2 linked regions of the Coturnix japonica genome follow. The protein of the gene in region 1 interacts with the protein of each later gene in a pairwise test. Links are inferred from orthologs where the notes say so. Each region holds a gene or a part of one and is shown in the gene's direction. Other genes may lie near its edges.

Evidence for each region.
Region 2: the proteins of CEP19 (region 1) and CEP43 interact in binary tests that used the Homo sapiens proteins (3 or more experiments, as listed by UniProt). The two-hybrid records come from large-scale screens. The link is inferred for Coturnix japonica from reciprocal best matches to the Homo sapiens genes CEP19 and CEP43.

What each region holds. Positions count from the first base shown.
Region 1 is NC_029524.1:3,566,742-3,570,156, forward strand, and holds CEP19 (centrosomal protein of 19 kDa), read left to right. Parts: upstream 1-1,601; 5' UTR 1,602-1,625; coding exon 1,626-1,749; intron 1,750-1,851; coding exon 1,852-2,213; 3' UTR 2,214-2,768; downstream 2,769-3,415. Other genes in the region: PIGX (phosphatidylinositol-glycan biosynthesis class X protein), read right to left, coding at 57-198, 1,306-1,369, 1,449-1,500. UniProt on the Homo sapiens protein: Required for ciliation. Recruits the RABL2B GTPase to the ciliary base to initiate ciliation.
Region 2 is NC_029518.1:38,160,707-38,164,527, reverse strand, and holds part of CEP43 (FGFR1 oncogene partner), read left to right. Parts: intron 1-1,965; coding exon 1,966-2,019; intron 2,020-3,282; coding exon 3,283-3,337; intron 3,338-3,821. UniProt on the Homo sapiens protein: Required for anchoring microtubules to the centrosomes. Required for ciliation.

The sequences.
Region 1 (3,415 bases):
TGCAGGCTCAGCCTTTATGTGAGAAGCCCCCCATGGCTGAGCTCCTGCCTCCTTACCTTGGTTACGTTGTGCTGCTGCAGTGACGCCAGCTCATCGGGATCCACGTAGACTCCTGCTGGCAGCTGAGTCCTAGCAGCCACCGTGCATCCTTCTGTCCATTGCCCCGTGCTGCCCAGCTCCGCCTTCACCAGCAGCTCCCTTAAAGCAAACCATGGGGGCACAATGCTGACACCTGCGTGTTGAGAGACAGCAGAAAAACCTCCAAGTGTCAAACTGTCAAATGCTCAGAGATGGGTGTAGCACATCCCAAGAGTGAAGCTCGGCTTTACCAGCTGCTCTGTGCTGCTGACAACCCCAGAAAGCACAGTGCGACTGCAGCCCACACAGAACAAGCAATAGATCCTAAATATGTGAGAAAAGAATCACAGACACACGCACTGCATGTGAAAAGAATCACAGAATGTCAGGGATTGGAAGGGACCTTGAAAGATCATCTAGTCCAATCCTCCTGCCAGAGCAGGAACACCTATATCAGGTCACATTAAGTTTCCCAGGAGACAGGCAGAACAGTGAAGGTACCTATAACTGATATGATCCTGCTGTGGTACGCTATTACAACAGTATACTCACTATAAAAAACTACTTTTGATCCATCACTCAGCTTGAAAGAAATAATTAAGAAACAAATAGAAATTATCTACATCTGTGTTGAGGATTGTTGTCTACAGTACATTTTCCAACTACTCACATATCTGAACCTCAGAAATAAGGGGCTTCCAGAACTAATTTTGTCCAAGACAACTTAATAATAATTGTAAAAAGGTTCTATGCTTCTTTAATGTCTTTGAAAGATATGAAAACAGATCCTTATGATGCTCATTTATTTCCTAAACCAACCTATATTCCAATTTTAGCTAAAACATTGAGAATCAACATCACCAGAAAATGCCTATACATTTGGAACCATGCCACTTTGTTCCAATACAGTTCATTACGACAACTGATACATTCAGTAAGATCCTGTTTAAGCATACTGACTTTAAATTTGAGTTCTCATGGATATCTACCTTTCTTACAGCTACTAAATCCAGAATTGTCAGAGGGAAACTTTCAACAGAGTGGAAAGCAGTGAAACGCAGTTTAAGATGTCTATGAAACGATGGCTCCCAGGCTGGATGTGGCTCTGTGCAGCCCGGTCTGGTGGTGGTGACCCCGCACACAGCAGGGGTCGGAACTGATGATCACTGTGGTACTTTTCAACCCAGCCCGTTCTATGACTCCGTGTGAAGGCAAACCCGGCCTCACCTGTGCAATCCCTCCTTCAGCAGCTCCTGAGACACGGCGCTCCTCACGCAGGCGGCCTGAGCGTCTGAAACGGCACAGACCGAGTGAGCAGCGGCACCGGGAGCACAGCGCGGCTGCTGACGGCACGACGGCGTTATACTTACGGAAGGCACAGAGCAACGCGCTTAACGCCCACCGCCACCGCACGGCCGCCATCTTGGAACCCCCGCCTCACCTCACGGCCGGGGCTGCCCGCGGCGCTGCCCGATTCACTCGGATGGTTCGGGCGGCCATTTTGAGTCGCGTTCCTCAGGCACTTGGAGCGGGCAGCCCGAAGGAGGATGAGCCGCACGGCGCTGCAGTGCGGCGTCCGCTTCCAGCCGCCATCCGTCATCCTCATCTACAGGGACAACGACAAGACCCGGCGGCGCATCATCCCCGTCAGGAACTTCTCCCAGTCCTCAGGTGTGTTGGTTCTCCCCCGGTTCCTCTCCATCTCAACTCCATATCTCTACTTAAAGAGATCCGCCTGCCCCTTGTAACTCCTCACGGTGGTTTTGTGTTTAGATTGCGGCGTCGCTGCTGAGCAGCTGAAGAATAACCCTCGGCACAAAGCCTACCTGGAAGGAGTGTCGCTGTGTCAGCTAAAGAAGCTGCACGTTCTGCTGAGAGGCCACCTGAGGGGAGAGAGCCTGGCTGAGAGCCTGGGGAAGATTGAGCAGGAGCAGAACATTGACCCCGAGGAGGACATGAACAAACTGGACGATGAGGAGTTAGCCAAAAGGAAACGCATCATGGACGAGCTCTTCGAAAAGAACAGGAAGAAAAAGGACGACCCGGACTTTGTCTATGACATCGAGGTGGAGTTTCCCCAGGATGAGCAGCTGGAGTCCTGTGGATGGGATGGGGAGTCGTGTGAAGAAGTCTGATTGCAGACCGAGAGGAGCTGGATGGGCAGAAACAGATCCCATATTCCTAGGAGAGAACAGTGCCATCCTGCTCCCTCCACTGCAGCATCTCCTGTTGGTGTGGCTTGAAATTGGCCATGGAGAATCTGAGGCCTAAGATATTCCAGCAGTTTCAGGTTTATATGCAGTGTAAGGAGCTGAACTGAGAAAGCTGAAACGAGACAGCTGAACTTGGTGGCTGTTTTACTCATTTCCAACGTAGGAGTGCCCCAATTTAACTAATTTATCTTTCCTTTGTTTCCATCTGGCTGAAAACCTCACCATGTTTTCCTGTGATTTCTCTTCAGCTTTATCTGAAAATGAAATGTTAAGTATTTACATCTTGGAAGCAATAATACACTTTATTGGGTGCCTGTGGTGTTTATCACCACCTCGGTTGGAATGTGAAATATACGTTTGGATACATCAGTGTCTCATTGAGGATATCACTCTCACCTTCCCTCAGTAGAGGCCACGTTTGCCATTTCAGGTTGCACAGGTTAAATCCTTCATTAAAAAACCTGAGCATTTCAAAAACAAGTCAGTTTTGGAAGCACTTTGGGGATGCTCACAAGCAGAAGAGTGGCTGAAATAGTCTGAGTGATCCCCCAGCAGGTACCTGTGTAGATAGTAGATGGCTTTTGGCTATTTCTATCTGAAATAGGGACAAAAAATGGCCACGTGAAAGGGTGGATGTGATGGCCTTCTCCAGATCTTTCCACAGCTGTGCCTGGCTCTGTTTCTGCAGCTCCATGCTCAGAGCTCACCCCATTGACCACAAAGCATGTGGTAACCAGGAGAGATAAACAGATAAAACACCATTACCAGAAATATAATTTATTCTTGTGTCTTTCGGCCAGTTGTTGTACATCCCTGAGGTCTGAGGTTCTGTCTCACTGGCACAGCGGGCACTGCCAGCAGTGGTGCCACCACCAGTGCAGTGTGGGACGGGGTCAGCATCCCAGTCCTTCTGTTCTTAGTGGTTTACCCTAAGGCTGAAGCTTCACTGACAGATCCAAATAGATCTGCCCCTCTTCCACTTTACCTTTCCACGTGTGGATTGCAGCCCTCGCCCTCCAAAACACGCAGATGTGAAACGTTCACCATGGAAGTTCACATCTGCGCCGGTTTCGTGTTGGCCTCTGGGCATGTCCCTGTGGTCACATATGGAGGGTGACCACAGC
Region 2 (3,821 bases), on another chromosome or scaffold:
TATTTGGAGCATAAGTTGTAGTGGGTTTATATTGAATTAATATGAGCTCTTGTCTTCTAAAAGTTTGTAGAGGTGTCTACTGAGACTTGGTGCACGCAGGATGGGAAAGAAGCCTGTGGCTTTAGTGGATTCTAGGATGATAGATGTGCAGTCAGTGTAGCTGTCAAGACCTGACTTACAGACCATAATCCTGGTACAGCTTACAGCATAATGCTGTTTTATCGAAGGCTTGGAAAGGACAAGAGCAGCCTTGAGAGCAGCTGAAAGAGAAGGACCTGGGGGTCTTGATGGACGAAAGACTCAACATGAGCCAGCAGTGCACTCTGGCAGCCCAGAAAGCAAATGGGATCCTGGGCTCCGTCAGGAGAGGGGTGGTCAGCAAGGATAGGGAGGTGATTGTCCCTCTCTACTTGGCACTTGTGAGGCCCCATCTGGAGTACTGTGTCCAGGTGTGGAGCCCTCAGTACAAAAAAGACATGGAGATTTTGGGAAGGGTCCAGAGGAGGGCCACAAAGATGATCAGGGGGCTGGAGCACCTCCCCTATGAGGACAGGCTGAGGGGGTTGGGTTTGTTCAGCCTGGAGAGAGAAGGTTTGCGGGGGACCTCATTGCAGCCTTTTTCAGTACCTGGACAGGAACTTACTCCCAGGAGGGGAGTAAAACTCTTCGAAAGGGCTGACAGTAGCAAGACAGGGGAAATGGTTTTAAGTTAAAAGAGGAAGATTTAGGTTGGTGATTTGGAGGAAGTTCTTCCCTAGGAGAGTGGTTAGGCCCTGGAACAGCGCTGCCCAGGGAGGTTGTGGATGCCCCGTCCTTGGAGGTGTTCAAGACCAGGGTCGGACGGGCCCTGGCAACCTGATCTTAGTAAAGGTGTATGTTTGGTGGCCCTGCCAGGCAGGGGGGTTGGAACTACATGATCCTTGAGGTCCCTTCCAACCCGGGTCATTCTGCGATTCTGTCTGATTCTGTGACAAGGGTGAGGAAGTTCAATACTAAGCTTTGTTCTGCTTTACTGCTGCTGTGAATAAGATGTTTCTTGGGCAACAATGGAAAACACCCTGAAAAAACGGGATAGCTGTCTAAGTGAGCACTGCATACAACTGGGAGACATCCTATAATTTTTCTTATGAGAACCCTTCTTACATTTTTTGCATGACTTATTTTCTTTTAGAAATGTATCCAAAGAGGATTACTTTTAACCTGTCTTTTTTTTGTTGGTTTTATTTTGCTTTGCTAATGTACATGAGGAAATCCAACCATTCTTCAAATTGTTTTTATTTTTAGGTATACAAATTGGTCTTTGAAAACCTTTTTCTCCTTTGGTCTTGAGGAAAATGACATGCAGAGTAGCAGCGTCTTTTGTGGTCACACAGTTTGTCTGCTGGCCACTTCAAAATGTTTTCCACTGTAATTAACTCTTAATCAGAGTACTTTGTTAAATGTAATGCATATTGTTCATTTAAGGTGTTCAAATGACTGGAGTCAGGCTTTCTTTTCCTTGAGAATTTCTGTTGCTTTGTGTGATCTGACAGGTCATAGGAATTTGTATAATTTAGCACAAGCTTTGAAGAAATTATAATCATGAGCTATACGTCTGTGTTTCATGAAAGAATTGTAAATTAAGGGTAGGTGTTTCAAAGCTTCCCCAAAAAGATGGATTTCTGACTTCCAAGGGAAACAAGTGGGAGGTTATGAGTTTTAGAATTTTCTTGAGGATGAAGAATTTGGGAAGTCTTGTATCAAATTCCTTCTGCCCCATTGCTTCTCCGAAAGCTTTCTCACCCTCAAGTCACATTGCTTGTATACCTAAATGTCTTAATTGTGTCGATGTTGTTTACAATTGATGCCAAGTTGTTGGAGGAGCAGCAAGTAGATGTTAAGATACTTTCTGGCTCTTAGCATTCTATTTGCATAGGTAAAGCAGCACTTGTAGAAATGCCATTTCATTTTTTTATTACTTGGCAGGCAGAGTTACGAGCAGCTGTTTTTTTGGCATTAGAAGAACAAGAGAAAGTAGAGGTAAGATGATTTTAAGTGTTTCAGTTTTGACTTTCTGACAGTTCTTCCTGTATAATTAAAAATAATTACTTTAATACTTTATGTATTACTTTAATACTTGTGTGCCCCGGTGGCGCAGTGGTAGGAATGCCGTGTTGCAACACCGGAGGCCCTGGGTTCAAATCCCCCCTGTGGCACAAGTGGTCGAAGTGCCACTCTGCAGCACAGGAGGCTCAAATCCTGGGGTTTGGACTCGGTGATCTCTAAGGTCCCTTCCAACCCTCTAGACTATTACCTATTACCTATTATTACCTATTATATTTGTGAAGTGTAACAAGAGAAAATGACTATCACTGCGTAAGAGCTTAAAAAAAAACTCCTCACAAAGGTCATCTTTCCAGTATTTAGAAATTCAAAGTCTCACATAACCTTTACTGTAAAACTGCTCACAGGAAACTGTTTATCACTGCTGCTTTTATGTTGCTCGGGTCCATTTGACTAGGGTAATTAAATATCTTTTCTTGCCAAGTACTACTTTAATAAATGTCCTATTGACAGCTGGAAACTTTATCCAATCAGAAAAAGTCTTTTGAAATGTAAGGTATTATAGTGGTCGATTTTGAGAAGTTTTGTGACCCCTTTTTCTGCCAGCATTGCCTTTTTTCCTGTGTCTGTTTATTCTTTAGACCTAGAGAAGAGAGGGTGCAGATGCTGTATGTCTGGGCTGTGTATTTTGAAAATGAAGAATGGAAAGCTGCCCCTTTCCTCTGCTGTTTTGTTGGTTGTGCTCTTTCTGGAAGAACGCACAACTGCAATAGATGTTATTGTGACAGTGGTAATGATGGGAAGCATGAGTAATTATTCTATGGCGTGAGACTCCATATGTCAGAAAGGTAACATGAGATTGCTGAGGAAGAAATAATGGAAGAGTGATGTAGTACCATTCCTAAATACTAGGAAAGTTGTTTTGGTTTGGTTCTTTTAAATACTGGTGAGGGACTTTCGTGTGTATGTTAACTATCACTGTTTATAAGTGCTGCCTCTAACAGATCCTTTCCTTAAATTTAGTTAGGTTCCTGTCCAGGGTGTTTTCACATATTAAGAATGATTAAGAAGTAGGATTCAGAGAGGTGAATGGCACGTACCATGTGCTGTATGTATGAGTGTACATCAAAACACCAAACTGTTGTGATTTATTTACTTATTTATTTTACTATTTTGTTTTTAACTTCTTAATAGCTCAAGGATGTTGTTAATTAACATTTGCTTTTTGCTTTTTGACAGAACAAAGCACCCCTGGTAAATGAAAGCTTGAAGAAATTTTTGAGTACAAAAGATGGTAAGTTCTGGTTACCACGTCTCAAAATTAAAAAGAACAACAAATAATGGATTGAATCTTCCGTGACATAAAGAATGCCTTTATTCCCATCAAATAAAAGCAGTTCTTACAACTGGCTTTGGAATAGAGTATGATCTAGAATTTTTAAGTTAATGTCTCTGAAGTCTTATTTTTAACTGAGGTGACTAGTATATTTAAGTTAATATTTCATGATGAGTAAAGCTACTCTAGGCAGTTAATGGTGAAAACAGATTGTAGAGGTACAGTAGCGACCACACATAAGAAAAATGGCAAAGTCATGTTTTTAAAAGATCAGAACAGATGAAAGCGGAGCCAAAACAAAGAGAAACCTCAATCTTTAAACTTGAATTTTGGACACAATTCCTTTTTTCCCATGCACTATTTCTGACTTTAAATAAGTTAAAATGGCTGAGAACTGGTACACAAATTCTGAGTTGGGTATGATGTGAACTTGCAGCTAGTC